4 linked regions of the Rhinolophus ferrumequinum genome follow. The protein of the gene in region 3 purifies or fractionates together with the protein of the main gene of each other region. This does not show direct contact. Links are inferred from orthologs where the notes say so. Each region holds a gene or a part of one and is shown on either strand. Other genes may lie near its edges.

What was found.
Region 1: the proteins of SMARCA5 (region 3) and BAZ1A purify together in Homo sapiens (affinity purification with western blotting; 8 studies listed by BioGRID and IntAct, with this or other methods). This does not show direct contact. The link is inferred for Rhinolophus ferrumequinum from reciprocal best matches to the Homo sapiens genes SMARCA5 and BAZ1A.
Region 2: the proteins of SMARCA5 (region 3) and MYO1C purify together in Homo sapiens (affinity purification with western blotting; 3 studies listed by BioGRID, with this or other methods). This does not show direct contact. The link is inferred for Rhinolophus ferrumequinum from reciprocal best matches to the Homo sapiens genes SMARCA5 and MYO1C.
Region 4: the proteins of SMARCA5 (region 3) and BPTF purify together in Homo sapiens (affinity purification with mass spectrometry; 4 studies listed by BioGRID and IntAct, with this or other methods). This does not show direct contact. The link is inferred for Rhinolophus ferrumequinum from reciprocal best matches to the Homo sapiens genes SMARCA5 and BPTF.

Annotation. Positions count from the first base shown.
Region 1 is NC_046289.1:83,112,529-83,120,645, reverse strand, and holds the start of BAZ1A (bromodomain adjacent to zinc finger domain protein 1A), read left to right. Parts: upstream 1-5,005; 5' UTR 5,006-5,401; intron 5,402-5,889; 5' UTR 5,890-5,947; coding exon 5,948-6,060; intron 6,061-8,117. UniProt on the Homo sapiens protein: Regulatory subunit of the ATP-dependent ACF-1 and ACF-5 ISWI chromatin remodeling complexes, which form ordered nucleosome arrays on chromatin and slide edge- and center-positioned histone octamers away from their original location on the DNA template to facilitate access to DNA during DNA-templated processes such as DNA replication, transcription, and repair.
Region 2 is NC_046304.1:16,396,585-16,404,653, reverse strand, and holds the start of MYO1C (unconventional myosin-Ic), read right to left. Parts: upstream 3,163-8,069; 5' UTR 2,955-3,162; coding exon 2,880-2,954; intron 2,078-2,879; exon of another isoform or gene 1,940-2,077; intron 1-1,939. Other genes in the region: INPP5K (inositol polyphosphate 5-phosphatase K), read right to left, coding at 6,563-6,622, 6,804-6,908, 7,077-7,160, 7,422-7,556.
Region 3 is NC_046301.1:17,881,684-17,889,047, reverse strand, and holds the start of SMARCA5 (SWI/SNF-related matrix-associated actin-dependent regulator of chromatin subfamily A member 5), read right to left. Parts: upstream 3,363-7,364; 5' UTR 2,956-3,362; coding exon 2,785-2,955; intron 1-2,784. UniProt on the Homo sapiens protein: ATPase that possesses intrinsic ATP-dependent nucleosome-remodeling activity.
Region 4 is NC_046304.1:43,234,238-43,241,893, reverse strand, and holds the start of BPTF (nucleosome-remodeling factor subunit BPTF), read left to right. Parts: upstream 1-4,496; 5' UTR 4,497-4,694; coding exon 4,695-5,301; intron 5,302-7,656. UniProt on the Homo sapiens protein: Regulatory subunit of the ATP-dependent NURF-1 and NURF-5 ISWI chromatin remodeling complexes, which form ordered nucleosome arrays on chromatin and facilitate access to DNA during DNA-templated processes such as DNA replication, transcription, and repair.

The sequences.
Region 1 (8,117 bases), on a different chromosome or scaffold from region 3:
AAATGAGATAGCAAATATTCGTGCAACTTCTGTCTGATAGCTCTTTTACAACAGAGAAACTAAAACTTAAAAATTAGTTTTCCAGGTGATGAAAATAAGAAAAAGAACACTTGTAATTCAAATTTTAAAATCTTCTCCTTGTTCTTTATGTCTTATTTTTAAAAACAATAATAAATCTATGTGGCTGAACATAGGATTTGTTCTGTAAATTGGTATATAATTAATCATTAACATAAGCAATCTAGAGAGATTTTTGGAAAGTGTAATTTAAATTCTATTTCCAGGTTAAGATGAAAGCAGCCATCCATCTGACTCTTTCACTGTAATCAAATTAAACTTGTATTTTCTATATCTATCTAACCATTCATCCATCCAACAAATACATATTGAAGTCCTGTCATGGCAAAGGCACTATGCTAAGTCCTGTAAAATATTTAGCACAGACATTTTTACTTTTTATTTGTAGTTCTAAACTTATTCCCAATTGTGAAGTGAAATAATTTATTACATCAGCTATCTGTCCTGACCTGCCTCTTTACCGTTTGATCTCTGTATCATAAAAAATTTTATTCATCTTTCCACAATGAAGTCTCCCTTTCATCCCTGTCCCCTAGCAACGCTTTCCCTAAAGGCAACCAGTGTGTTATTTTCCTATATACTCTTCCAGATGCATTTTATGTATCAAGCAAATATGTATATATTAAAATCCCATACATATTTTTTTCTGTAGCTTTTTTTTTTACTTCCTCATTCTTTCTTATATCTCCATACTATTCCACTGCATGCCCTTTATAAAGGATGTGCCTGTTGCAAATCTGAAGGATGAAAAATGTCATCTCAATGTAGTTTTAGTTTGTATTTCTCTTATTTTTAGTGAGGTTGAGAATTTTTTATGTGTTTTAAAAGCCATTTGTATTTTCTTTTCTGTTTTTCTTCAGTTACTGTGATTTTACTATTACTTATATAATAGGGAAATAGCAAATTATTTATATATTAGGAAATTAGCCTTAGCCCTTTGTCAGAGAATTGCAAATAATTTTCCCAGTTTGATATTTGTCTTTCAAGTTAGTTTGTGATAGCTTTTGTAATGCAGAAATATTTATTTTTATTTTATAGAATTATCTTTATGGATTCTGGACTTTGTGTTATACTTTGGCTTTCCCAACTCAGATAATTTTCTTAAGTTCTTCATGGTTTCCTGTAGTACTTTGATGACTAACGAACATTCTTAATCATTACAAGTCTAAATTGTTTAGTGCATAGGCTCAAGTTCCTTGTTTCAATTTATATCTGAGCTATTTAGCAAGCCAGTCCCATGAAAATATAGAATAGTAATAAGGAGTTAGGACTCTGGAGCTGATAATTTGAGCTTTTCTCCTTCTGGAGTGTATGACGTTAATTAACCTCTCTGAGCCTCAACAGCTTCATCTGTAAAATGGAGATGCTAAATCGTACTTAGTTTGCTGTGAGAATTCCATGAGATGATTCATTTAGCATAATGCTTGACAAGCTGGAAGCATTCATTAAGTGTAAACTATTACTGTCATAATGATGGCCATAGACAATTCTTTCAACCCCTACTACCATCCCATAACTCATGACTTTAATCACAAGGGGTTGAATAAAAAAATGCATTCCAAATTTGCCAACATTACCACTTCAGCACTAACAATCCAATCTCCTCTAAGCATTGTAGTTCTTGACCATGGCAGTACGTTAGAATCACTCAAGTAGAATTTTAAACTCCAAATGCCTGGGTCTCTACCCCAGAGATTGTTTTAATTTGTCTAGGATGTGACCCATACATCAGTATTTTTCAAAAACCCCTTTTGTGATTTCAATGGGCAGCTAAGATCTAGAATCACTACCCTAACACTAGGCCAGGTTTGATATGAAGAGAAACATATTCATTGCTACTAAAGAAACATATAGAAATCTTTCATAGTTAAAATGCCATGAATCAGGAAGACATTAAAAGGAGAACACAGAAGTGTTGAGACAGGTGTCAGAGATATTGAGGAAAGGAGTTATGAAGTTGAAGATATTCCTCGTATATATTTATAAGACATCTTTCTCAGAAGAGCTCAGGGAAGCTATGCTCTAAATACTTTTATAACTGCTACTTAGAGGTAAGGGACATGAAGTATTTATACTATCTATTAGATGTGTTAGCTGAAGAAAGGAGCTAGGACTCATCAGCTGTTCAATTAAATAAATTTAAGCTTCCTATTATCCCCATTGTTTTCCTGGATAACTCTCAAAAAAAATATTATTTCTGATCATGAGTAATATATCTTATCCCCTTACACATTTTACCAGTTTAGAAAGTATTTGGAATGGTACTGTAGCTTATTTATAGGTACAGTGTAAGTAGGATATACAAGATAATTAGATATTACCGAATTCAAGGAAAGAGACACTTGGTTTAGAGAGTGTGGACAAGGAGTCAGGAGATCAAGATACCAGTTCCTGAGCTTCAGTTTCTTCAGGTGCAAAATGAGAGAAACAAGAGTTCCCAAAGGTTTCCTTCAGGTGTCTCGCCAAGTCACCTAAGTCTTTCTTAATCAGTCAATTGAATACAGGAAAAGTATTCTAGCTCTAGCTTTTAAAATACTTATTTCATAGTCTTGTTTTGTCTTTACCTATACCTTTTCGAACATTAAACTATGCCTTGATGATATTAGATTAATATATGTATTGTCTAACTAGTATGTTTACATTCTAAATTTAATTGGGGGCCATTGTTGTCTTCACCCAGAGGGGTAACTAACTAATGGGGGGGGGTATGTGCATCTTGAGACTGGTGAGGGTATGTTGGAACATGAGCTTTCTATTGCTCTTCAAATCATGCCTTGTGATGCCTGCATTTAGGACCAATTCTGGGTCCCCCTTCTACATATTCTTCTAATCTTTTCTACTTCTCTTTTTGCATTATGTTACTCATGATCATTAGGACGCACACAATTCTTGTATTGGTTGTCTTTACATCACCTCTACAAGAGTATACATTTTTTGAGGCCAGGATACTTATATTATATCCCTTACATGAGCTAGTACAGTCTTGGCACATAAAAGGAGACTGATAAATATTTGAGTAAGTTGTTAAAAAAATAATTTAAATTTCATTGTCTTCTCTTTTTTCTATGCTACTGTAACTTTCACAGTTTGCTTTATAATATTTCCAAGTTTTTTACACAGTCTTATTTCATACTCTTATTTCACAACAGTATCTTTTAACTACTTTCTGAATATAGCAATAAGCTTTTCAGTCTCAAAAGTCTAGAAGTAGTAATTAAGAAAGCAAGGACATAATCATGATACCAAAATACAAAATAAATAATGTATTAGGTAAGCTTTTAGTAGTAAATGTGTAGGATAACTTCAAGAGAAGTGTTATTTTGAGGTAGCTTAGGTATGCTATCAATTTGATCCAGTATTACATACACATCAAAACTAAACTTTGTTAATTATAATTTACTAAACTTACATTATTCTGAGTTAATAATAAACAACTACGTATAACATTTATTAAATATCACAAAACATTTAAATAAATCCTATATATGTAACTCAGAAAACTGAGCTATGATAGTACTGAAATTTGAGTATAGTAGGAGGGAAATTGAGTATGATAGTATTTTGATGAAGTAAAATAAAATTTCAATTTTAAGTTAGTAGAAAAAAATCCAATTGTTTAAAAATCTGTATTGTCTAAGAGCTCATATATGACTGACTAAAGCTGTTAGCCATTTGTCAAGCAAATGAAATGCCATGTTCTTTGCTATTATTTTACTGTGGTGTTTTATTTGTTAATTGTATAGAAGTTGTGTATTGAAATACAGTCATGTTCTGTTTTTTTTAAAAATCTGTATTTAATAAAAGAAAAAATCAACATTACAATTTTTGATCATGATGTTACCAAAATTACTTTAACAGCTTATCAAATAGTGAGATCTAAGAAATACAAATATTATTATATTCAGAGAAAATTTCATCTGATTTTAGTTTAATAGTTAAGCTGGGATTTTGAATTGTGAGAATGATGCTTCAATAGTGGTTAAAAATCATCCATCCTCCTTGACCCCCTTTGAGTCTACCTTTGTGGGTTCTTGAAAGAAGTTAAAAAATGATAATTCTTGAGATTTGGATAGATTACATTTTCAGCTCCAATGGACACATGCACTTAATTTGAAGATACCAAACTAATCCCAATTTTTTTCTGTAACTATGGTCATTTCACAGTATTGGTAGTTACATCCTTTTGTTAAATGACTGTTCTTCAAACTTAATGTCTTTTAGACTCATTCTTTCATATTAATCAGCAAAGAAGCAACTGTCAAGGGCAGTAGCAAAAAAAAAAGACCATTTAAAACAAAGCTGGCAAACATTTGGAGTTATTTGTAGTTTTGAAAATTCTTAATTTAAAAGTCACATGTATTATGTGTATTAAAATTCGTTTCACAAAAGGAAATTATAGATATGGTAAAGTTTCTTTAGAGGAAATTTCACTAGTAAATCCATCTTTAAAATTTGAAGTGATTTAATTAACTATTGATCCTTTGCAAAATATTTTCAGGGGCATATTCTAGATACAACTTTTTAAAGGTGTGTTTTTTAGTTTTAAATATGTGGGGGGTCCAATGATGACATTTTCTAACACACTTTTTTGATCTTTTCCTCTGCTAAATCTTTGAATTGCCCTCTCTGAGTATTAAAGAGAACTGCTGTCAAGTAAGGTACTTTTTCAAGATGGATGTTTACACAAGCAAAATATTGTTTTAGACACTAGAATTCTAATTTTGAATAAAATATCAAAATACTTTTTATCTTATTCCTCGTTTCTCTTCCTATGTTTAAAATACAAGTTAGATGTTAATTGTAATCATTTCCCCCTCATATAACCAAGCGATGGTACCAGGCTTGAAGATGAAGGCTTTAGTTTGTTAGCCATGTGTTTATGAAACCCCAGCGCTTCTCCTAGATCTTTTGGCTGATAATCTCAAACATGGAGGATGCTTCTGATTCTTCACAAGGGGTTGCTCCATTAATTAATAATGTAGCTCTCCCAGGCTTTCCGCCGTCTCTTCCTGTATCAGTGACAAGCTGTAAAAGTCATCGAGTAGCCAATAAAAAGGTAGAAGCGAGAAGTGAAAAGCTCCTCCCAACAGCTCTTCCTCCTTCTGAGCCGAAAGTAGATCAGAAACTTCCCAGGAGCTCCGAGAGGCGGGGAAGTGGCGGTGGGACGCGATCCCCCGCGCAGAGCCAGGCCGTGGCAGCTGGAGAAGCGGCGGCCGGGGGCGCGGCGGGGCCGGCGAGAAGCGACCCCCCAGGAGGACAGAGCCTCCCCTCGCTGCCTTCGGTAGTTGAGAAGGTGGAGAAGTGGCAGTAGGCGTGCTCGCAGGTGAGGGGCTCCGTGTGGTCGCTCAGGAGCCGGCCGGCGCCGGCAGGGAAGTGTAAGCGAGCGGGCGAACAAAGCAGAGGGGCGCCGGGGTCCGCCCGCAGCGAGCTCCCTTGCGGCGTCGGGCTGGCCGGCTCCGCGCCGAGCACGTTGTGAGCCCCGCCGCGGCGGCGGCGGCGGCGGCGGCCCGGGAGCCGGCGCTGGGGGAGGGGGGCGCCGCTCCCGCACCGCCCGCCAGCGGCGGGGCGGCCAACCCCATTGTGAGCCGGCAAACGGGCGTGCGGAGGTGGGGCGCGCTGGGAGTGCAGAGGCGGCGGCGGCTCGGCTTGCTTAACACCCCGGCAGCGACCGAAGCGACCTCGGCTCCGGTGGCAGCCGCGGCGCGTCAGTCACACAAAAGGCAGTCGAGCTTCCCCGGCGCGCGGACCGGCCCATGCCGCCGCCGAGCGCTCCCCACCTTACCGGCTTTCCTTTCCCTCCAATTTTGATAGGGAAGCGGGGCCGACGCGGGCGGCCGAGGGTCGGGGTGAGCCCGCGGGCGGACGGGAGATGCCGCTGCTACACCGAAAGCCGTTTGTGAGACAGAAGCCGCCCGCGGACCTGCGGCCCGACGAGGAAGTTTTCTACTGTAAAGTCACCAACGAGATCTTCCGCCACTACGAGTAAGGGCCCGGCCGGGCGCGGGGGGTGCGAGGGAGTGTGGGGACTCCCTCCCCAGTGTCCTTTTGTCTCCCCTCCCTTTCCTAACTCTGGGCTTCTGGCGGGGCGACTAGAAAATGACGGGTGGCCTCAGGCCCGCGTTTCTGAGCCCGACCCGGTGACGGCGCGGGGTTCCAGGGCGGCACGACCCGCCGAGGTGCGTGTAGGGAGAGCGGGCCGGGGACGCGGACGCTAGGGTCGCTGGCCCGCCGTGTGGACCGCTTCTAGCAGCGGCTGCCGCCCGGCAGTCGGGCGGCGGAAACTCCCCGCCTCACCCCTCCCCGCCGCGGCCACACGCGCACTTCGGGGCCAGTTCCGGGATCCCCGCCCGGCAGCAGAGGGGATCCCCGCTCAGGTCAGCAGCACGGGGCCGCTGTCCCCCGGCCTGGGGAGGGAATCCCCGCCCCCGGGGGCAGGAAACGGCCGGGCTGGGAGTCGTTTTCTCGGTCGGGAGTGGAACCTGACGTTGGAGCTGCCTAGGGTAGGGGCGGGGGGGGAGCGGAGTTGAGAGTCAGGAAAGGAGGGGCCTCGCTGGGGGCCGTGGGGCCCGGGACACGACCCTCTGTCGGCGGCCTCCTGTCTCGTGCGGCTAGGCCTCGGGGTATACGACGCGAGCCGTGCGCTCTGTCACCGCCTCTTCTTGGTGACTAACTCCCGGCCCCGGGGAACTCAGCGTCTCCGCCTCCGGGAAACCGGGTGAGGAAGAAGTCTGGGCTGGGCGGGGGAAGAGGAGGGGGAAAGAGCAGAGCCCTGGGTGCCCCTCGTTTTCACTTTCGAGTAGCCGGGTGGGCCGCGGTGGGGGTTGGGGGGAGGGGGTTAAGACAAGTTCAACTCCAGCTTCAGCCCAGTCTCTTTTATCCCCCTGCGCATGTGGGCCGCCTGACATGTGCCACTCGCTATTGTTTTGATAAGAATCCGGAGCTGTTGCGTGTGTAGTTTGAACCCCTACATTTTCAGTCTCTTGCCTGGTTTATCCCAAGGGATCCCCTTGTCCTGTGATACTAAACAACTGGGTGTTTTTAGAGATACGTTTTTAAACACAGTTTTTCTCCAAGTGAGAACCTGAATTGATCAATCACTGAACTAGCCCCTATCCCCCTTTTCTTATGCTTTATTCTCTCCACTGAGAAGGAATCTTTTGTGGCTTAGAAACCAAGTGTTACAGCAACCAAATATAAATTGTGTGTAAGAGGCACCTTTTCTGAGTGGGGGCTTGATCGAGGGAGAGCTTTAGTCAAAACTGCACCTGTCTGAGAAATGAATACATAGTGAAGTTAGTAAAGTCAATTCCTGTAAGCTTTTAAGTAAGCCTTCTTTGTCTTCAGCTCCACAGAAAATTACACACAAACATGTTATATCTAGAGAAGTTTTTTAGCAGACAGTACTTCTTAAATAGGAGTGTACATCTTACTCTGCTCCTGTACAGACTTGTTTTGTTACTCAAATAGAGTTCACTCTTGTAACTACTTAAGTGAATTTGGATTAGGTAACTAGACAAGGATGATATCTTTTTTTTTTAAGTTTAAATTAAAATCTTAGTAATCCAAATTTTTAAAAAATTGTATTTAAATACGAGTGCCAACAAAATAAGAAATGGGCCTAAATTTCAAACTCTTCTCGCCTTTGATATAAGCAATCTTGTCTTTTTTAAGAGGCCCTTCTCACTTTAGAAGAGAGATTGAACATGGCTGTTACCTTTTTTAAACAATTTTCGTGTACTTTGGTTCTTGATTATTTACTATAATCATGGAGAAATTCAAAATGCTGAAATAAAGGAAGAGATTTTTGGTAATCCAAGTCTTACTACTTTCCATTAATATTAAGGAACTGTGTCCTTTGTAGCATTATGACATTAAATTTAAAAAAATAATTTTTTTCCCCCTCTGTGCTGACTTTTTTTGGGTTTGGGGAAATTGCAAGCAGTTCAGGAGAGGCGATTGGTTTGGGAGCAAAGATATTTAATTTACTCTGAACAAGCAGAGCTACTGATATTCTTAGGTATTAGTCTTTCTGATTTTGA
Region 2 (8,069 bases), on a different chromosome or scaffold from region 3:
CCTTAGGAGTAGCAGCTAAGGAGTGTGGGCCATGGCCTTTGGGTCCCCAGCATGGCCCTGGACCTAGGGGCTGGCTGGCTGTGTAGCTATGACCCCTGAGTTGGGGATGGGGCAGTCCCAGCAGACCTGAGTCATCCATTTACTTAGTGTGGGCCAGGTGCCCCCAAGTCTGACCTCCGGAGGAGTGGAGAGGGCAATGGGCAGCCTCAAATGTTCCCTCAGCCCAGGGCCTCGTGAGTCTGGAAAGGGTGTTCTAAGGACCCCCAGATCACTGCTATAAGTTGATCTTTACTGAGACAGCCACATAGCCTGTTAGGGCAGTGGAAAAAACCATAGCCTATCTCACCCTCGGTGCAGTGCTGGGAACAGAACAGGTGCTCAATTTATATTTATCAAACATATCTTAGGTCTGGGCCCAGGCTGCCCCTCCAAGGACTGTTCCAGACCCAAGGGAACTGTTGTGACGGGGGATGGGGCTCTATCTAATTGCTCACAGGGCTCCATTCAAGGGCTGTACAATCTAGGTCCAGAACCGTGGGTATTTGGCCTGCCAGACACCTCTGCCTGGTGGTCCAGTAGAAGTAAACAGAGCACCTTGCCCCCTAACCTACTCTCCTTGTTCAACATCCTGTATGTAGAGGGAAGGGAGACACCTCCAGCTAGTCTTTACCACCTGGTATCAAAAGGCCCTCCTCCCTCCACTCCTCACATCAAGGAGTCATTACCTGCTAAAACCTCCCCTGTGCTCCTCCATCACTGTTCTGCTCCTGGACCAGGCAGCAACCTCTAAATTGGCCTCCCTGCCTTCCTCCTTTTAATCCATTTTCCCACAGCAGCCTGTGGTATTTACAAATACAATCCGATCAATTAACATCTCATGTTAATAGATGTGAAGGTTTATAGGGCACCAGTCCATGTGCCAAGCCTGTATTTCATACCCAATGCTTCTTGCCAGGCCCCGGCATAGGGACTCCAGCGCCCCCCTCTGTCCTCAGTTTACCGCACTGCTCCTATGTTCCTGTGTGACCACAGGGGTGCCCCTTTCCAGTCCTTCTCTCCCTATGTCTGTCTCACCACTACACACAGCCAGGATGAGCTGCTCCAGCCCCTGCCACTAGCCACACGTGGCTATACTTCTTGCTTCTGCACCTGCAGCTTCCTTCCCCTTGTGCACACTTCCCCTCCGCAAATGACTGACTCTTAGTCATCCTTGAAGACTCAGCTCAGGTATCACCTCCTCCAGAACCCCTTCCTGACTACCCTCAACACTCTGGCCCCTCTTTATCGCATTACGCTCTAATCGCTGGTTTCCTGGTCAAGTCTCTTCCAGAAGACTGCTTCTGCCTGGGACATACACCCAGCTTGACACAGTGGGGGCTCAATAACCCCTCGTGGACGCCTGCGTTCATGAATGAATCACTGAGCCAGCAGGGAGAGCAGGAGGCCAGAGCATGCCGGCAGATGAATAAGGCCGTGGGCCAGCCATTCATTCTCTCATTCATCTCAAAGCCCCCCATCCGCTACAGTCATACGCGCCCAGGCGTGCGGGGGTCCGGGGGCGGGGAACGGGAAGGGGCGGGGCTCGGGAGGCTTCTCCGGAACCCAGAGGCAGAGTCCGAGCCCGGCCAAAGGGCGCGCTGGGTGCCTGGGTCCCGGAACCCCAGCCTCTCCTTGCAGTCCTCACGTTACCCGCAAGTAATCCAAGTCTCCACCAGGCCGAGCCCTGGCGTCATCGGGTCCTGGGACCCGGCACCGCCCGGGCCAAGCCGACCCTCAGCCCCAGCGATCCCCAGGCCCACGACCCCCGCCTCCCGCACGGTAGCTCTGGGCCTGGCTCGGCGCCCAGCCGCCTGCCCTTTCCCCCATCCTGCGCGCCAACAGAGGCCTCCCGGGGCCACGCGTCTGCTGCCCGCCCCGCGCCCGCGACCAGCGTACCCACCGGCTCGGCTCTTTGGGTGCGCGGGCGGGGGCCAGGCTGGGCGGCGTGGCCGGCTCTGGAGTCCGCGGCCCGGGCACGCTCTCCCCGCCCAGGGCCCGCCCGGGGCCGGGCCGCTGCCTGTCGTCATCCCAGGCTGGGCCCAGACCCGGGCGCGCGCGCGCACCCTCCCGCCCCGCCCCACCCCGCGCCGGCGGGTCCTGGCCCTGGTCCTGGCCCTGGTCCTGGCCCTGGCCCCCGTCTGCGTCCGCGGAGACTTGGTACTACACTCGGCAACCAGCTCCCGGGAAAAGGCGCGTCACAGTCTCTGTCTCTCTGTCACACACACACCGGCTTCCAGGGAAGACCCAGCCCACTCGCTGCAGCGCTGGGTGGGTGGGTGAGTGCGTCTGATAAGGTTCCTTCTCATCCTAGGACCCCTTAGCATCCCAGAGCAAACCCGACCCTACCCTGCGTGCTGGGCCAGCTCGGTTCCACGTTTGTGACTACCTCTCGCACTTCATCTCCGTCCAGTCCACACCACTGCTTTGAGCTGGCCAGTCCCAGTTCTTTGGGAATGGGGAGGCATTAACCAAGCCTGTATTACGCCACTGGAGAGCTTTACCTGTACAGGTCCTTTGACCTCAGAGCAGCCCAGTCACCTAGATGTTGTTATGCCCAGTTCATAGCCCAGCCTATTGAGGATCAGGGAGCAGAAGAAGGGGTTCAAACCCAGATTCCCCACTTTGAAAAACCCTGCTTCTAGTGGTGCTTAATAGTGGCGCTTAAAACCTTACCCCTCCCTCCCATTTACCCGTTTTGTCCAGTCTGTTCCTGTCCCACGGAGGAGCTGAAGCCCTCCCCACTGCTCACCTCTTTCCCAAGGGGTTTGCGTGAGAGAGGGCTGCTGGGCCCTGGGCACACACTGCCACCCTTCCTCCCAGTCCAGAACATCCCAGCTTACAAGCTTGCAGGGCCTGTGGGGATGAACCACACGGATGATCTCCCCGGTGGGGATCAGCTCCACTTGCAGTGCCATTCCGCCTGTGGATAGCCAGCGTGCTGAGCACCGGGGCCTCTGAGCAGAAGCCTGCCTGCCTGCCCACTGGCTCTGGCTGCTCCTGGAACCAGGAATTTAGTCTCACGCTGGGATGGTCACTTGGTTCAGCTTCAATTCTAGCCCCAGGGGATGTGTCTGGTCCAGCTCCTCAGGACACAGCTGGAGCAACCCAGGTCTGATTGGGAGGCCTCTTGGCCCAGCCGGTTGAGGCAGGAAGAGGAGGGGCTGAGGGATGGAGGAAATGCCTGTTGTCCCAGGTAACCAGAGCAGCTGATGCAGCCACCAGTGGGGGACCCTGGGCTCCAGGTCAAAGGATAGGAGGCCTCTCCCTCTGCCTACGGACTGGTGTCAGCTGGAGAGCAGGGTGATCACTCCCCAAACCAGAATGCATATCCTGCCCTAAACCAAGAGGATCCATCGGTAGGCCCTGCCCCTCCTGCAAGCCCCTCTGAGTTTGTCTGCCTTCCACAGCAGCAGGTGAGCCCCTTGAGTTTGAAAGGTCAGGGCTGCTGGGGGCAGGCCTTGTTGGGCAGAGGGGGTTCACTGGAAAGGCAAGGGCGCTGTGAGGAGCCCCGTCCCACCCTCCTCTGGAGCCTCAAACTCTTGGCGTGGGAGGTTAGTCCCTGGGTTCCTTGGCTGTGGGCAGCCTTAGCCCTGTTCAAGCCTTACTTTTCCATTAGCACCCTCAGGTGCCCCCACCCTGAATGTTCCTATTTTTCTATCTTTATTATAGTTGCTAAATCACAGCTGACACTTTCTTGGCCTGGGGCTGAGCCCTTGGGTCTCCAGCCATTCCTTATAGGAAGTGAGAAGGGGGAAGTGGATGGGAGAAAGGAACCCTCCGAAGGGAAATGCTGGCATAGGAGGGGTGGAGTCCAGTGGCCTGCGCTGGCCTTGACAACCCCTTCCGCAGGCACCTTCCCCCAAGCACCCTTCTCTTCCCTACTCACAGCTTCCCCCGCCCCGGAAAAACCAGCAAAGCTTCCTTCCTTCCTCCGGGAAGCACATCTATCCAGGGCAGGCTCATCCCCGGCAGCCACACAATGGCCCTTATCAGCCCTGGAGCCAGGCACAGAGACCCAGCACACACCAAGTCTCTCACATTTCCTGTTTCCACCCAGCGGGTCAGGGCTGGGCCCAGAGCGGCCATATCCTGACTGGAGCCAAGATGAGGGAAAGCACTCCCCCTTCCCCTTCCCGCCTCTCAATCACTGCTGGACTCACCCCTGCCAGGCTGGGAGGGGCTCTGCAACGGAGGCAGGAGTAGGAATGAGTGAAGACTGAAGAGGGAAGGAGAGAGGTGGGCGTGTAGACAAGCACACTCCACACGCAGGAGAAATGGGACCCTGGAGACAGGAGCCCTGAGACCCAGCCCCAGGTAGGTATAATAGTGTTGCTCTGGTTTTTTTTTTAACAATTGTTCTCTCACAATAATCCTGTGAATAGGTACATTATTTGTATTTTACAGACAACTGAGACTCCTGTGTTGGTAGAGATGGAGATTCCAAACCAGGTCTTGACTCAATTCCTGTGTTTCTGGTCCTGCATGACACCACTGCTGCCTGTGTAACTTCAAAAGGATCACACCATTTCTGAGCTGTGGTTTCCCTGTCTGCCAAATGAAGGGTGCTATGTGGCAGCACCCATGATGGTTATGTATGTGAGAAGGAATGAAGTGGCCAAGTGCAAGGGATGAGGGTTCCTCAGGTGGGTGTGTGTTGGGAGCAGGGATAGAGGTTACCGTGGGAACTCTGGGGTAGAGGGGGTGGGGGGCAGAGGAAAATGATGGCATTTTTGGATAGCTTAACCCAGGACCTATGCTCAAGACTCAGGCGTGAGGGGGTGGCAGCTGAGGCGGGATGGGCCAGTGAGAGCAGAGTAAGCACCTTTTCCGAGAGCTGTAGTTCTAAGCAACCCATTCTATTTAGCAGCAGAGTAAATTAAGTGCCTAGTTAAATAGGTACCGTGTTTCCCCGAAAATAAGACCTAGCCCGACCATCAGCTCTGATGCGTTTTTTGGAGCAAAAATTAATATAAGACCCGGTATTATGTTGTATTGTATTATGTTATTATATTATAAAGATCCGGTCTTATAGTAAAAGACCACCAGGTCTTACATTAATTTTTGCTCCAAAAGATGCATTAGAGCTGATGGTCCGGCTAGGTCTGATTTTCGGGGAAACACGGTAGCACGCCTCACGTGGGCCAGGAACCCAGACACTCATCCCATTGCCATCCAGGCGACACCTGCCACTCAGACACAGGAAGTCAATCTGGATCTACAGGGCGCTCGTCCTGGAGTCCAGCAAGGGCCCGTCACCATGTGCCCCCCCCATCAAGAAGGAGTCACACACAGGGTAAAAGCCATGTTTCTAATTATCCCCCCATGTTAATACACAGAACACAGCCATGGACCACCGGAAGCCAGGGGACAGTTCTTGGAACTTAGAACTGGAGTGTTCTTTAGTCTTGGGTTGTAGGATTGGCATGAGTCACAGAGTAGGCTCTCTGAGGTGTCTTCTCCTGGGAAAAGGGCCACCGAGCCACTAGTGGCTGCAGGCAAGTGGTAGGAGCAGGGACAGCCACATCCATAAAGCACCTGGAGAATGCTCTCTAAAGACCCCCAGAACCAGATTCTCCAAAACGTCTTAATTCCAGCTCTCTTGTCTACCTGCCCCCACTTCTAGGTCCCGGAGTCGTCTAGAGGGAGGGCAGGTTTCTGGCTAGTGACTACAGGCAAGGATAGAGCCAGATGAGGTTCACTGAGCAAAGACCACCCTGGAAAAGTCTGTGGCCATAGCTCTTCTACCACCTGCCAACCCTTCACAAAAGGGCAGGTTGGGGGCATGGAGCCTGACCCACCAGCAGAAGTGAACCTGGGTCCAATGCTCTGCTCAGGCCCAGGAATTTCCTAGGTCAGATCCAGGGGGGGCAGGAGGGTGCAGGCAGAAGGACAGTCATAAACCTGCCCACAACCCCTACTGAAAAGCCTGGGTAGAGGGGCCCCTCCATCCTGCCCACTTGGTCCTACTGCTTCTGCTCAAATCAAGGATCCCAGACCCTCTGCCCATTCCTTAGGGAGCTAGGCAATGAGATGCCAAGATTCCTGGAGGCCAGTGCTGTTTGCACCAACCAGTCTATGGAGCCTGTACAAGTGTGAGTGTCTCCGCCTCCCAGGCAGCCTGAGGCCCAGGATGGCGTGATAAGAATGCAGGCCTGTGCCAGATGGGGCATGTGCCTGGCAGGCCTGCTTGGGCAGGGCTGGAAGTGTGTGTGTGGGGAAAACCAAGAAATGAAATGCAGGCTGCAGGGTCCTTGCCACATCCGGTGGACTGTCCCCAGGTCTTCACTGTTGACAAACTAGCTGGTTTCACTTACGTCTCAGCAACAAAACCTGTATTTAAGTGGCCAATTCCAGAGATTTGGACTGGAGAGAGCACAGGAGTGTGGCCACAGCTCCCCCTGGGAGGTGAAGGATACTTGCTGCCTCCTCAAGGGGCTGGGCTGGGCCCCTAGTGCTCCTGACAGTGGTGAGCAGAGCTGGCTGCCAGCTTTGGCCTCCGCCCTGGATTCCCTCTCATCCCAGCTCAGATCTGTGGTTGGGCTTCACCCAGTGGGTCCTTCTCCAAGAAGGCGTGAGGCTGGATCTGCAGGGATAGAACAGGCAGTGAGTGGAAGGGGAAAGAGCACATTTTCCTCCGCTGTTCCATCACTCCCATTCCCCAACCGCTGCGGCTCCAGGTACGGGTTGACTCCTCGGCCCTTGGCCTCGGGGAACGGATGAGGGGTTCTGCGTACCCTTCTCCTTACCCCACCAGCATGCCTTACCTTGAAGGGATTGCTTATCCCCACCACAGAACGTAGATTGTTGCTATAATAACACAGGAGAAACTGGTCCTCAGTCTCAGGGATATCACTAATGTTGATGTACACCTGGAGGGGAGGATGGACAGGAATGGGGTCAGTTCCAAGCCTGGGTCCCACCCAGTTCTCAGCCACAAGTTATCCAGCCTTCTGTGTGCTCCAGAAGACAGAGGGGCGCTCAGGCAAGCCCAGCTGCTGGAGTTGTGGAATACCTAGGTTAGGAAGGGGGGCAGGTACCTGGTTCAGCTTGTCACTGAAGAAGACCTCGTTGTCCTTGACCCAGACATAGCACACGTAGTCATTAATGTGGCGAAACCCCACCTGTGGGAGGGGGGAGCGGGTGGTCAGTGGTCTGGGAGTACCCAGGACCTACGGCACATCCTAAGGAGAGGACAGTCTCATTTCTAGGTCGGGCCATCATGCTGTATGCCCCCTCCCTTTCACTGCCAGCCCCTAGGTGGGCAAGGACCCTGGGATGAGTAAGGGTGAGCTCTTCAGTCTGTGCCCAGCTCCTGTGAGCCCTCAGGATGGATAAACCTGAGGCTGTGGCAGAGGGACTCCCTGTCATGCCCGTCACATCACCTTGTACAGTCCAATCCAGTCCCAGGAGCTGCTGATGAAGTCTGGGGTCAAGAAGTAGCTGATCAGCATGTCCTCCATGGTCCACAGGCCCTCGGGCACCAGGGTAATCAGCGGGACACATACCAACGGCTTCAGCTACACACGGGTGAGAAGGGGGATGAACATACACAGCATCCTTCCCTTCTCTGAGACAAATGGCCTTACGGTGCCCTTCTAACAAGCCAGGGTCAGAGCAGGGAGGAGGGCACCAGGGCAGTGGGCACAGCGCTGCTAGGCTGCTCTGAGAAAGCAGCAGATCTTGGCTGGCCAGCTGGAAAGAGAAAGGGCAACACTTGTCTGGGGTGGCTGCCCAGTCAGGGAGGACTGGGATGACGGCTGGACGGGTAACCAAGTAGAGAGCCCAGTGCTGAGGGGTGAGGTGGGGAGAGAATGGGGGGGGGTGCTGACAGGTTTAAGAAAGAAGCCAGGTAGCTGCTCTTAGGCCTCCTGGGTTCCTGACCCAAAGCCCCAAATTCAGTTTGGCAGGGGGACGGTGCCTGTGGTGAGAACGACTCTCGGCATTCTCACCAAAGAATGGTACAAATGGGAACTAGGGAACAAATGGTAAACGGCAGACAGACCAGTATGAAAAGGTAAAGGCTGAGGGCA
Region 3 (7,364 bases):
AAAAAAAATGTTGGTAAAAGTATAATTTTCATTAATGACATACAAATCTGTGATTGGTAATACATACTATGTAATAAAGCTACCCATGATTAAAATGGTGGGGGGAGGGGCTGGTACAGTACTAGAATTAAAGGGTCAAATTATCTAAATTCAAGTCTAAGTTCATTGCTAAGACTTTTAAGCACCCGTGTAACCTTAAAACTCATCACAAATCTCTGGTATCCACAAGTAAAACAGACAAAGCTACCTACCTGGCCTACTTCACAAAATGTTAGTAGAATACCATGAGAGGTCAAGTACATCTTAAAAAAAACAAAATGTGCTTTCCAAAAGTAGTCATTATTTCTTTCATAGTTAATAAAAAAAGAGAAAGATTTGGACCAGGACTTGAGCTCATACAATTATTGGCATATAGTCAGTCTAGTTTATTGGCATATACTTCTCTACCAGTCTAGTCAGTAGTGAGGGATGAGGATGATGGAAGATAGGCTTCATCACATTACCAAAAAGATCATAGTAATCAACAAAAAGATTGCTCGCTGACCTATCAGTACCAAGCAAAAAGGAAAAATTAACTGAATACATAGGAAAGCTAGCTAATATTTCTGGGAAGGTCAGCTTTGCCAGAAAAAATCATGAATGCATGATTTCATTTATTTTCTGATTTTGGAAAAAACCTACTTTAAATTCTACTTTCAAACAAGAAAATGGCATTAAAATTTTTTTTCCAACTGCGAAACAGATTGCTAGATGTATTACGCATGTATGCGCAAACCTAGTTTTTACCAGTAAACCTCAATGATTTCTGAATTCAGTTAAGAGACAAACAAAAATAACAGACTGAAGGTACATTTATTTTAAAGATCACCCCCCCAATCACACTATGTGAAAAGAAAACACAAAAAAATCAAAACTAAAATTAGTGAAGAGATTGATAAAAGACAAAATTACTGATATTGCTATATTAAGGTAAAAAAACTTATTAGTCATTCTTCAATAAATGAAATTGCTAACCACCTTTTTTCTAAGAATCTGACAGGACAAAATATGTTGGAAAAGAGTCAGTCTTAGAGCCTGACACAGGTTCTACCACAGGTTCTACTTAGCAGCAGCCTCAATTTCATCATCTAGCAAATAAACATACCACTGACTTCATACGGTACTTATCACGTCAATATTCATACTTAAACTTTAATTCAACTTTAATTTAAAAATAGCAAAATATTTAGGTTTTAAATTACTCTGCTTTTGATATTTAAATAAGATCTCTAGGGAGACATTGGTTATTCCAAAATTTTAATGGCAGACCCTTTTGAAAAGCCAGTGAAAACTATGAATGAACATCATTTTGCAAAGAATTGTGTGCATTTAGACACAATTTCAGTGTCACAGGTTTTCAAATCCCCTTAAGCCATGCATAGAGCAGGAATCCAAGTTAAACCTCCCTGGTAATCTAAAAGAACCATATAGAGCCTTAGAGGAAAAAAATAGGCAACGGTAGATAGGAATATTAAACAAATCTCAAACCACTGAAAACTACAGAATATCACATGTCCTAGTCCACTAAAACCTACCTCACCACTAAAAGTTCTTTCAAAAATATTACAACATGTTACTTCACCCTCAATTAGACCTTCGGTGACCAAACAAAACTATTGCGCCAAATACTTCAATGGTAAACTGCACTAACAATTCCTTATTGGGTTAATTCTGCATCAAGGCTCATTTTCAAAGCAGTATTACCTTCATTCTGTCTATCCAAGGATGGAAAAATCCCAGAAATCTTTGGGCTGCGACTATAAAATATCTCAAAACAGATCGAAGGCCAAGAATAAAATTTGGAAGAAGCAAGCAATCACTTTATTCAGACATCACAAAACCTTGGAACACACCCAAGAGACCCACCTGACAGCTCCCCAATCTTTCCACCTCCCCAGTACTGTCACCATCCTCTGGTCAACCCGTCCAGAAGGCAGGCTGGGCGGCGAGCAGTACCGATTTTCAAAGAAAGTCCAAGGCCCCCAAAGAGGAACTGCGTTGGACTGAATGCCAACCAACCAACTGTCCCTGACTTACTAATTCATTCACCCATTCATCCATCCCCCTCCCTCAAAATCAGATGGGGGTCCAAGACAGCTGCTGCAGCCTTGGTCGCCTCCCTCCCAACGGAACAGTGCCTGGGAGGGGCCTCCATTCCCTTCACTGGAGCAGCTGCGCCCAGCTTATCCCCACTGCGCACTCGGCCATCCAGCTCTCGCCATTGTTTTCTGCCAAGAACAGACACCGCCCCCGCAAGGACCAGGATGAGGAAAAGGAGGCCCAAGTCCTAGGATGCGCTGATTTTAAATCCCTTTCCCACCCCGCCCGTCTATCCCTCACTCCTCAGGGGCAGCTCCCTCGCCCGTCCCCGAAGTTTACTAGAAACTAAAACCTTGCTTCAGAGATGGAAGAGGGAATTATGGGAGTCTAGGAGGGAAAAAAACAACGGGTAGGTCGTTCTCGGCCTCAGTAATCAAGAACATCTGTTTAATAAGAGCATTCGAAGATTTGGCAAGATTCGCTAAAAATGTTAAGTGCCAGAAACCCATAGTCAGTTTGGGCAGGTTAAGCACCGGACGCAAGGGAGGAGCATCATTGCAGGTCCAAAGGGCCTGAGGCGGATCTGGGGTAGAGAGGACCCCAAAGTACGAAGTACGGCCCTGCGTCTGATCACTAAAATGCAGACAAGTGAACTAGCTCCTTCTCCCCACTGCACCCTCTCCCTGTGCCCAAAGCCACCCTTACCTCCATCTCCGAGTCAGCGGGACCAGCGCCGACCTTTGAGGGAGCTGCCTGGGCCGCGATGCCCTCGGGGCCGCCTTTGTTGTTGCTGCTTCCACTGCTGGCGGCCGAGACTGCGGGCTTGGAAGGCGCGCTCTCGGGAGGCGGGGGTGGCGGAGGTTCGGCCGCGGACATGATGTTCCGTCTGCGTCACCCGCTGCTGCCGGAGGCCGGGCGCGGCAGGGATCAGGAGGCCTAGGCCGGGGTGGCTACGTCTCAATGAACTGATGGAGGAACGAACCAATGCCTTCTGCGCAGCGGCTCCGGGTCGAGCCTGAACCGGGACCAGCAACCTCCTCGTCTCGTCGTCGTCCTCTTCCGCGGGGATCGGGTTCGACCGGCGCTTACCTCACGGCGGGAATCACGTTGACGAGAGTGGGCGGAGCCACCCGGGTCACTGAGGTCAGGAAAGGCGGGCTGATTAACAGGAGGGCGGAGGGTTGCGGGAAGGGGAAAAGGAAGCGAAGAAAAGACCGAGGCGAAGAAATAGCTTCGCGGTCCCGTCTTCCTCCGGTCAATATCATCTACCTCTCCAGCATCCAGGACAACTGCCTACGCCACCGACTTTCAACCCTCGCGAGATTGATAGTTGGCTAATAGACTGGGTTGCGAATGCGCATGCGCATCCTCTTCTCCTTCCCCTTGCCACGCCCCCTTCGGCCCCTCTCGAGGCCTGTACGAGAGTGGGCGGGGCCTCGACCGAGAGCTCTGAGACAGGTTTGTGCCTCGGCTCAGTGGCTTGACGCGAGCGCACTCTTAACGCGCTTCTATAACGGCTCAGTGTCTGCGGCCGCGGTGTCTTCTTGGCGTGGCCTGGGTTGGTGTCGCTCGCTGAAAACTTGCCCAGGTTTTGCATCACCTACTGAAACTTGGAGGACTGTGCTGGCTTTAACACTTCTAGTACCATGCTTTATTACAGGCGTGACGCCACAGCGTTGGTGACGTTATCGTTATCCCAAGTGATGTCTCAGTTTTTTGTCTAAGGAGGAATGCCCATTAGTTTGATTTATTTTCCTCTTAATTTTCACATTTTAGCCATAACAATTTCTCAATACCTTCTACTTCGATACAAAGAAGATATTTCCTCTGAATTTATATGCTGAAAGTAAACAAATTGTGTGTATTCTACCATGTAAAGTGAGAAACATGAGTAATCAATAAATAAGGAAGCGAGGCCCTGGGTTGTGTCTTTTCCTTAACCACCAAGCAGTAAATGAAAATGTACATTCTCCAGGCAGCTGGTTGGCTCAGTTGGTTAGAGTACAGTGCTCATAACACCCAGGTTGCGGGTTGGATACCCACATGGGCCACTGAGCTGCGCCTTCCACAACTAGATGAAACCAATGACTCCACAATGAGATGGAAAACGAAGGCTTAACTTGGAGCTGATGGGTCCTGGAAAAACACACCGTTCCCCAATATTCCCCAAGAAAAAAGAAAAAAAAAAGTGCAGTCTCCTTAAGTGTGAAGAGATAATCAGTACTAATTATTTGCACAGTCTGAGGCTCTCTGAAACCCAGCTTTCTGTATCCAACTGCTATAGAATTTAAGTCCATTGTATGCAATTTGATTACAGATGTGCATATTACAGTAAATCATCTGCCCTACACAGGTATTTATTCATCTTTGTATCCCCTTGTCCAGTATTTTATCAGTGTTTATTAAAAAATGGGACACATTTTTGAGACTTAAGGTTTAAGCTAACTGGTTGTTTAACTAGAATTTCAAACAGAAGGGATCTCCTTTTGAATATATAGCTTACAAATTTTTAAAATAATCTAATGATAATTCTTTAATTGAGGTGTGGATAAATGTCTTCCAGCCCACTAGAAATGCTATTTCTGAGATTATAAGGAATATGAAAAGATAAATACAGTGGTATCTCAGTTTTTTAACGTAATCCATTCCAGAAGACCGTTTGAGTTCTGAAATGTTGGGAATCAGCTGACAGGTAGGCCTCAGGATCTTGCACTCAATGGAAGCTGCATGACATGTTCAACTTCCGAGGCATGGTGGTAATTCAAAGCATTTTCTTCCGGGTTGACGGCGTTCGTAAACCGAAATGTTCGTCCACGGAGACGTTCAAAAACCGAGGAACTACTGTACCTGCAATCACGTTCATAATAGTTTTCACATTGTAATTGCAAAAATCTAATAACAGTCTGAATCCAACATTGAAAATATGATTTTAAAACTATTGCACACCGGAGTGGCCAGATGTTTCAGTTGGTTAGAGTGTGAGCTCTCAACAATAAGGTTGCTGGTTCAATTCCTGCATGGGATGGTGGGCTGCATCCCCTACAACTAAAGACTGAAAACAGCAACTGGACTTGGAACTGAGCTGCACCCTCCTCAACTATACTGAAGGACAATGACTTGACTTGGAGCTGATGGGCCCTGAAAAAACACACTGTTCCTCAATATTCCCCAATAAAAATAATTAAAATACCCCCAAAACTATTGTACACCCACAAAATGAACAATTATTAATGTAGAAGAATGTTCATTATATAATGTTTACTGAAAGAAGTTTAATAGTTCAAAAATATAGATGAAAATTTGGGAGGATATTCATAAAAAGTATTGAAAGTGATTGTTACTGATGTGTGATTTTTGCTTGTTTATATATTTTTTTCTAAGATAAATTTGTGTATCATGTTGAGAAAATTTATTTTTAATATTAAAAAATGTACTTTCACCAAAAAAAGATGGTGTGGAAAGGGTGGAAGGGTAAAAAGGTAGTGTCTAGGGTGGTATCTGATGTATAGACATTCAATAAATAGTTGTTGAATAAATATTTAATATTCACATTGTTAAGTAGAAAGACTATAACACTTATTTGATATTCAGAATGTTTCTTCACTCTTTATAGTGGTAGGTGCTGGTTTAGAATCCCTAAAATTATACTGAAGTATATAAATGGAAGTTTCTTAAATATGACAGGTATTTAAGGAAAGCAATAAATAGCAAGAAAAGCAATAAATAAAATTGTCTCCAAAATGGCAATTGTCTTTTAACGTGTGTATTTACACCATAGGTTTCTCATATGAAAGCTGTATAGGAATCTTAATGGGGAAAATTATACAGGAGACATACTTAGAACAAAGGAGGAAGCGGAGACAGTATGTTGGAATCCACTAATCTAACTAACATCAAGAACAGAGAAATAAATTTTGAGGATGATCTAGAAGCAGGAAGTGGAAAGAAGAGCTACAGAAAAGACCAGACACCTGGAAACTGAGCTACAGGGACATTAGCTGAGTTAGGCAGATGTAGTACTTACAGGGTGGTCAAATCACAACGGCCTATTTTTCTTCAACGACTAATAGGCTAAAACTAACAGGTAGTTCTGGAATTGATAGCATAATATAGGATTAATGTGGTAAGAGAGTAGGCTGGGGAGTTGGGCGAGCCTACGTTCCAGTGCAGGCTCCAGAATTTAGTAGCTGTATGAAGTCAGGTAAGTTATATAACTGATTTGAAATCATCTCATCTTTTTGTTATTACAGGCATACCTTGGAGATGCTGTGGGTTCAGTTCCAGATGACCACAATAAAGCAAATACCACAATCAAGTGAGTCAGATTGGTTTCCCAGTGCCTGTAAAAGTTAAGTTTTTTTACACTATACTGTAGTCTATTAAGTGTGCAATAAGTAGCACACTTTTTTATGTCTAAAAAAATAATGTACAGAACTTAAATTTTTTTATTGCTAAAAAATGCTAACCATCATCTGAGCCTTTAGCAAGTCAGAAATTTTTGCTGGTGGAAGGTCTTTACCTCAATGTTGATGGCTGCTGACTGATCAGAGAGTGGTGGTTGCTGAAGGTTTGTGTGGTTCTGGCAATTTCTCAAAATAAAAGAACAATGAAGTTTGCCTTATCAATTGACTCTTCCTTTCATGAACAATTTCTCTGTAGTATGTGATGCTGTCTGATAGCATTTTACCCAATTTTGAACTTCTCTCATAATTGGAGTCAATCCTCTAAAATCCTGCTGCTGCTTTGTCAACTAAGTGTATGTAATATTCACCATCACAAATATAACAATGAAAAAGTTTGAGATATTGTGAGAATTACCAAAATGTGACACACAGGCATGATGTAAGTAAATGCTGTTGGGAAAATGGCACCAATAGGCTTGCTTGACACTCAATTTGTAAAAAATGCAGTATCTGTAAAGTGTGATAAAGTGAATTGCAATAAAACAAGGTATACCTGTATATTATCCCAACTTTATATAATATTCTTACAATGATGTCATAAGAATTACATGAGATTGTGCACGTAGGGTGTTTAATACGGTGCCTGACATAGACTGAGCTCTTGGTTCAAGTGTTAGATATTCTTATCCTGAAAAATCATAAGCCTAAGTAAAAGTCAGAGTCTAGTTGGAGGAAAGGGAACCTAGTGGTTTTTTAATAAGGAGAAGGGTAAGGGGAATAGTGTCAAGAAAACACTAGAAGGAATTAGTGCTATAAGTATGTTCCCAGAAATAGAATGCTAATGTGAAACCATGTTAGTGTTTTATCTCAAATACACAAATA
Region 4 (7,656 bases), on a different chromosome or scaffold from region 3:
TCCCTGGGTTTCATTGGGTGCTATAAGGTGAAAGGGTTAGAAAATACAGCTCTGACCCAACTCCCTTAACTTATTCGTGAGGAAACCGGGGCTCAATCAGGGTTGGGTGACCTGACTAAGGTCACAGAGCTGATCACTTCCTTCCTAAACCAGCTCCCGTGGTGACTATGAGTCTTAACTGCAGGTCTGTGAGCTCTCACTCTCCAAGTTACCCAAGTCCAAGTCGCCTCCTGTTGACTTCCCTCTCTGTGTGTCGTATCCCATCCGACCTAATCCCCTCAGGTTGAAGGAATCCTCCACGTGATGGGAGCTGAACGCCAGGTACTCACCATCCTGACCTTCCCTGCAGCTCGACCCTGTACTCAGCAATCCCCCTCGGCCTTCGAACTGGAAGCTAGCAGTGCTGTGGAGCAGTGCCCAGTGCCCAGGGGGGTGATGCTGCCAGGACAAGCTGGGCCTGGTGCCCGGCAGTAACAGCGTGCTGTCCTCACTAGTTCTGTAATCTGATTTTGGACACTTCCTGGTTGCAAGCCTCAGAGCCTGGTTTTGGGGCACTCCCAGAGATCCTGTGAGCTTAAAGGACTCAGCATGGGTTTCTGTGACTTGCAACCAAGAACCAAACTGATAACAGAAATTGGAATCAGAGTGGTTGTAGGCCATAGGTCTCAGGGAAATGGGGTGGGCGTGGTCTGTGACTGTCTAGTCTTTTGAGGGTGATGGTAAGGAAAATGCATCTAGTGTTGAGGTATGAGACTTAAACACCCTATATCAACTAGTGGCAAAACAATTCAATGAAACACCCGTGTCTTTTGGAATTAAAGGCAAGTCTTTAGAAGAGTGAGTGGCTGTAAGCCATAGAACTATACTGGATGTGAGGAATTCAAGGACTGTGGGGTGCGGTGGTTTCTGACAGTGCTGGATACTTGGCAGCTCTCTCTGGATTTAGAAGACTACATATACCACATTGGTATGTGCTGCTTTAACCCATTTTCCAAGTGACCTGAAAGCTTGCTAACGTTGAGCCACAGCACAGAGCAGGAGAAGCTTCTTCAGCAGGTCCAGGCTGCATGCACGGTGCTCTGCTGGTTGGTCCCCAGGACCCGGTGTATCCAGTGCTCGGTGTGCGGCCACATGCTGGGATGCAGTACAAAGCCCATGACAAGCCCCCCAAAGAGCATCACTATGATTGTACTCAGGGTTTCAGAGCAAAGCCTGGCTCTCTTTGGCTAATAACCACTCTCCTTTTTATAAACTGTTCTTAAATTGCTCCTGGGCCTGGACAAAGATTGGAACCCTGACCACAGATTACCAGGTGACCATGTAACTTAGTTGGCTTATTATGAACTGTCTTATTAAGTATCTTATTAAGTATCTGTCCCACTTAGCCATAAAATGCCCTGTAGCAATCCCTTCCCCAAGAAGACATGGGATATAGAAGAGCAGCTCTGAGTAGGTCCTGTAGAAGGCACAGGCGTGCAACTCCCAGTATGTTCACTCTCATTTTACTGGCACCCCTCCCTCAATTCACATTATGGAAAACTCCCATGACCAAGTGACTAAGGAGGACATTTGAGCTTGGTTTACAGATAGTATCAGCTGGGAGGGGACTGCTAAGGTGTTATAGCTATACTTGCAAGTGGCCTTGCAAGGGCCGTGGGAAAAGGAAATCTTCCCAGTGGGCAGAGCTCTGAGTTGTTCTCTTACGGTTCTCTTCGCCTCAAGAAAGACTATACCAGTTCATGGGCGAGGTGGTCAGGGATTCAGGTTGGTGAAAAGGAGGTTTGGGCGTGGATGTAGGTGAAACTCTCAGAACAGACCTAGAAAGTGAGAGTAGCTGTGTTCTGTGTGAATAGTTATCCTAATGTTCCCACTGCTGAAGATTTAATGTTAGGGGACAAGAAGACCCATCCTATGGAAGTAGGTCCAGCTCCTTCCCTAGTCAGGCCAGTGTCTGCTGACTGGGGTCGTGAACTGACGACGATCATGGGCTTCTCCTTGGCAAGGCTGACCTGGCTATTGCCACTGCTGAGTGCCCATTCGGCATTCATCATTATAGTGGCTCCTTGCTATCCTGGTGGGTACAGTGAATCAACCTCATTGGGAAGAGGATTTGCTTTTCCCACCATCCTACGTGAGTTTACTGAATACCTTGTTTGCCGTCATGGTATTTTAGACATCATGGCATCTGTCTCAATCAGTTCAGGCTGCTATAACAGATATTCCTAGCCTGGATAGCTTATAAACATTAGATATTTATTTGCTACAACAAATTACCATGGACTGGGTCTTTTCAAACAACAGACATTTCTTTCTCACAGTTCTGGAGGCTGGAAGTCTGAGATCAGGGTGCCAGCCTGGTCGGGTTCTGATGAGAGCACTCGTGCGTTGCAAAGGGCCAACTTCTCACTATACACTCATGTGGCAGAGAGCAGGGAGGGAAGGCAAGCTCTAAGCAAGCTCTCTCCTGTTCTTAGAAGGGCATTAATCCCATCATGAGGGCTCCACCCTCATGACCTCATCTAACCCTAATTATTTCCTAAAGGCCCTACCTCCTAGTACCGTCACATTGGGGAGTAGGGTTTCAACATTGGGGAGTAGGAATTTGGTGGGGGACACAAACATTCAGTCCATCGGACCACAGCACTAACTTTAGTGAAAGAAGAAATTGGCTGTCCTATCAGATTCACTAGCCCCATTGTGGACCCCAATAACCAGAAGGAGCTCACTTTACGGAAAAGTAGAACGGCCCATGGAATACACAGCTCTTGAGTCAGGAGCAGATAACAGCTGGAGAGCTTGGATCCCCTTTATTGTTGGAACCAGCAATTCTGGAGGTGTCCATATCCTTCTCATGAGTTTCTTTTCTGTTTAGATGAGCCAGGGTCACTTTCTGTTGCTTGCAATTAGAAACTCCAAATAATATACCTTTCATTGTGCCATCTGTCATAATTTTTTCTGATAAACAGGTTCCTCCACTATTAGTTTGTGAACACAGAAGGCTGTCACCATTTCTTTCTAGTATCTTCCCTATGGTACACGGCACTACATAGTGTAGGACACAGGTTGCAAACTTGTAGACTCTGGGCCATATATTTGAACTGCATTTATTTTGATCAATCCGAAGTGTTTATAAAAAATTGACCTAATGGCCAACACTTAAAAATCGTGAGATTTCATATGCAGTGCACATTTCCACCTTCTCTTGAAAAATTTGACGACCTGGCTATTTTAGGCCCACATTCCCACAACTTCCTTCTTAAAACAAAACACAGGCACTTCCATTTGACAAAGTTTTCACTCACTTTATGAAATTTCATTACTTACCTGGTCCCTGAAGGCGTATGTTTGTCACCCTTGGTGAAATATATGGAATAAATTAATTTAGCAATTAATGCTTGTATTTTCATTTCATACACGCAGAGTCCTTTCTTTCTAATGACTAATAAGCCACTTAGTGATAGGGAAGAAACTTGGGTAGTCACATATATCAGTAAATATTGTTTATAAAACCTTTCTTATTTAGAGTTATCCTTGACCATGGCGAGCTGAATGCCCCGGGTTTGGTTGAGGGGGTGGCTAAAAATTCATCATCTTGATCAGTCCCCTGGGCTAAGCCGAGACCTGATGATTTCTCAGGTAAAAAAAATTACTTCCTGATAACACAAACATGCATTTTGAAGTAGGTTTTAGGCAAGAAGTCACCCTTTCTACTACTGCAAACGAGAAACTGGGAGTTCTTGCTGAGGTGGCCGACTTTCTAGCCGGGGTCCTGGGAAAGGTGGGAGGAGACTGGGACGTAGCTGGCGTTCCGGAGTTTATCCGAGGCTTTTCGGGTGGGGATTCTAAACTAAGGAGTCTCGGAGTGACTCCCTGTGGGTCTGGCGGCCCAGGGCGTGGTTCCTGGCACAGCCCTCCAGCAGTTGTCATTGGGATCAATTTCAGGACTCCAGAATCAAGCCTTCGGAGTTTCACATTTCTGGGGGCTCGTCGCCCCGTCCCCCTCTTAATTTCCCTCCGTCGCAGGACCTGCTCTATCCCCCCTCGGTCCTTCTAGTTAACCCCTCTCCCCCCGCAATACCCTCTCTGGCTCTTTCAGCATCAGTTCCCCCATGGGGGCGGGAGGGGGATACATTTGGGGGTTCCCCTTCCCTTCCCTCCGAGTCGGAGACGGGGGGAGACGCGGGAAGGAGGCCCTGCTAAATTCAGGCTCCAGCGGGGGCTCCGTGGAGGCAGTCGTCACCGAGACCTTTGGCGCGGGACACTTCGCGCGGGGGAGCGCCCCTCGGGTCCGTGCCGCCTGCGTCTGTGGTGCAGCCGCACCGCGCGGAGGCGTCCCGGGCTCCCCGCCCCCGATCCGGCGCTCCCGCGCTCCCCCTAGCGGCCGCCGCGCGGCCTCGCTCCGTCCCAGGCTCGTCGGCGGCGCAGCTCACGTGACCGCGCTCCGGGCCTGCGGCCGCTGTCGGTTCCCCCAGTCACCGAGCGAGAGGGAAGAAACAAGATGGCGGCTGAAGGCGATCCGGAGTGGGGCCCCAGCAATTCGGATTGAGCCTTCTCCCTCCACCCGCTTCCGCCGGCCGGGCCCCTCCCGCCCGGCCCCGCGGGCCTCCCCACCCGGCCCCGGCGCCCCCCACCGCCACCCCTCCGCCCGCCCCTCCCCCCTCCGCTTTCCCTTCTCCCCCCGCCTGGGCTCCAACATGAGGGGCCGGCGGGGCAGGCCGCCCAAGCAGCCCGCGGCTCCCGCTGCGGAGCGCTGCGCCCCGGCCCCGCCGCCGCCGCCTCCGCCGCCGCCCACGTCCGGACCCATCGGGGGGCTGCGCTCGCGGCACCGCGGCAGCAGTCGGGGCAGGTGGGCCGCCGCCCAGGCTGAGGTGGCGCCCAAGACGCGGCTGAGCTCGCCCAGGGGGGGCAGCAGTAGCCGGAGGAAGCCGCCGCCGCCGCCGCCGCCGGCCCCCCCCAGCACCAGCGCCCCGGGCCGGGGGGGGCGAGGAGGCGGGGGCGGCAGGACGGGGGGCGGGGGCGGCCACCTGGCCCGGACCACCCCGGCCCGGAGGGCCGTCAACAAAGTGGTGTACGATGACCACGAGAGCGAGGAGGAGGAGGAGGAGGACATGGTCTCCGAGGAGGAGGAGGAGGACGGCGACGCCGAGGAGACCCAGGATTCGGAGGACGACGAGGAAGATGAGATGGAAGAGGACGACGATGACTCCGATTATCCGGAGGAGATGGAAGACGACGACGACGACGCCAGTTACTGCACGGAAAGCAGCTTCAGGAGCCATAGCACCTATAGCAGCACTCCAGGTACCCACCCAGCCCCGTTGCTGCAGACTCCTTCCCCACCTCCTCTACCCTCCCCCTCTACTCACTCCCTCTCTGGTCTCCCCCACCCTCACCTCCCCCCCAGCAGAGGGGAAATGCGACGGCACATCCAGTGGCAAAAAACGAGATTTACCAGAGGATAGAGGCGCATTGTTCAAAATGGAGATTGCATTGTTGCAGTTTGCAGGCCACACACTCGCTTGCTCTCTTTCTCTACCCCCAACCCCCTCATTTTCCTCTTCAAAATTTGTGCCAGTGCAGTGTCTCCATCGGGCAGGATTGAAACTTTGGCACACATACCCATTGCATTCATTTTTCTCCCCCTTGTTTTGGTTTGGTTTTTTTTTTTTGGAATGAAAGAAGCCTCTTGTTTTGCAAACCTCTTTGCATTTCTAATGTGGTTTCTTTTAGCTTTTTATTCTATATCTGTTCCTTAAAAGGGAATTGAGGATTTAGACAGGTTGTGGCACACAGACATACACATACAACATGTTTCTCTTCACACCCTAGCACACCGTGTGGTTTTAAAATCGTGTTGAGGAAATGGATCAGTTTGGGTTAGTAGGGGACCCTTATCTGGTCCTGTGTGTTTGTTTTTATTGAGTGCTAATGGGCTCGTGCAACAGTTGCTGGTAAATGGCTGATTAAAAAGCAAAGCAGAAAACCAAACAAAACCAAAACAAACGTGGTAATTCACCCCATTCAAAGTCATTTTGGGAAAAGCCAAAATAAAAGTAAGGAAGCACGGGAACCTGTGTCTTAATTAAGTTTGATCCCATTGCTTTGCCTGGGAAATGCAGTTTCGAGTCACCTGTTGCAGGAGATGTACAGTTGATCATGCAGACACAATTGCCGAAGATGAACTTTTGGACCAACTTCTAAGTCACACCGCAGAAGGAGGGGGATTTATTAGAAAACGAATTTTTTTTCTCATTCCTTTTCGAAGGATAAAAATCCTCCCTGGATCTGTAATGAATTTCCCCATGGTGACTCCTCCCCTATTTTCTCACAGAAAGTTTCTCTAGGCTGGTGCTGAGATGCGTTTTTATTTTTTAAGCCACATGATTGCTGCTTTGTGTTAAATACATGGTTGAATCTTACTAAATTGTGAAAAAGGCGTAACTTGTAGCAATAACCTACAAGATTTTTTTCCTTTATATTTTTGTTTATCTGGATTAACTAAATTAGAACCCAGTTTTAAGAGCATTTACAAAGTAAAGTTTTTGAGGAAATAGGATCTTAAGGTGTGTCATTTGTTTTTTTAAGAGAGACTGCGTAGTAGAATATAGCTGCTCGTGCAGTCAATTTAAATATTTCCATTTTCTATAAATGATTAAATATTTATTGGCGGAGTATGATGATTAAACCAGGTGTAGTTCCATTTAGATTGTCTTAACAGCAAATGAAAAAGGTAATTTCTTTTGCCAGACAGTAAGAATATCTGCCTGTCTGTGGAGTGGGGGTGTTGGCAGGAGAATGAAGGGAATGAATCAAGTGTCAACTTTTTTTGTCTTGTCTGTAGCAGGGACGATGCCACTTTTCATTTCTTGCCAACTTAATTTTAGTATGTCATTTATAGTAATAGTTTTTACTTTTAAGAAATCACATGTGGTCTTCTGTACCAAGAGCCCAGAATTGAAACCCCTGGAAACTGAATTACATGATCCCAGGCAGTTTTTTTTCAGGTTACACAGATATAAGGTGTTTTGGCAGGGCAGTTCAGCTAATGTTAACTTCTCTTTGAAGGCCTAGCAAATTTAGGATTGGTAGCCATATGTATGCTGAATTAAATTACAATTTGTGTTTCCTTTTTTAAAAAATACTTGTATATTTGTGTACTTACATGACATTTTTTCTTAATGACATTTATAGTTTATCTTGTGTATACTTGTCCTATCTTTATATGAAATTAAAGATTATACATCCTTATATTAACCTTACATCCCCTAACTTTCCTGGCGCAGTGTCTTGGCATGCATGTAGCGGATGCTCATCAAAGATTGGTTGGATAAATGATTGTTAGTAGGTGAGAACTTGTAACAGATGAAGTTTCGATAATGCTACAGTGGATACCATAACTCCTAAATGTTTTGGATTTGGGAAACTGAAAATTGGTCCTGTTAGATTTTGATAGTTTGATAGTTTGAAAATTGGTCCTGTTAGATTTTGATAGTGAATGTTTTTGTAGCAGAGTTAGTGTGTTTTGAGCTGCTATTTCATATTGCTTGCCAGGCATTTTCCTTTCTTCATTGGATGTGATATTAACTTGTTGGTTGTTTTACTTTTTGAGACATTATTTCTCAAGATCATGGTAGAAGGGGTGATACATTTTGTGTT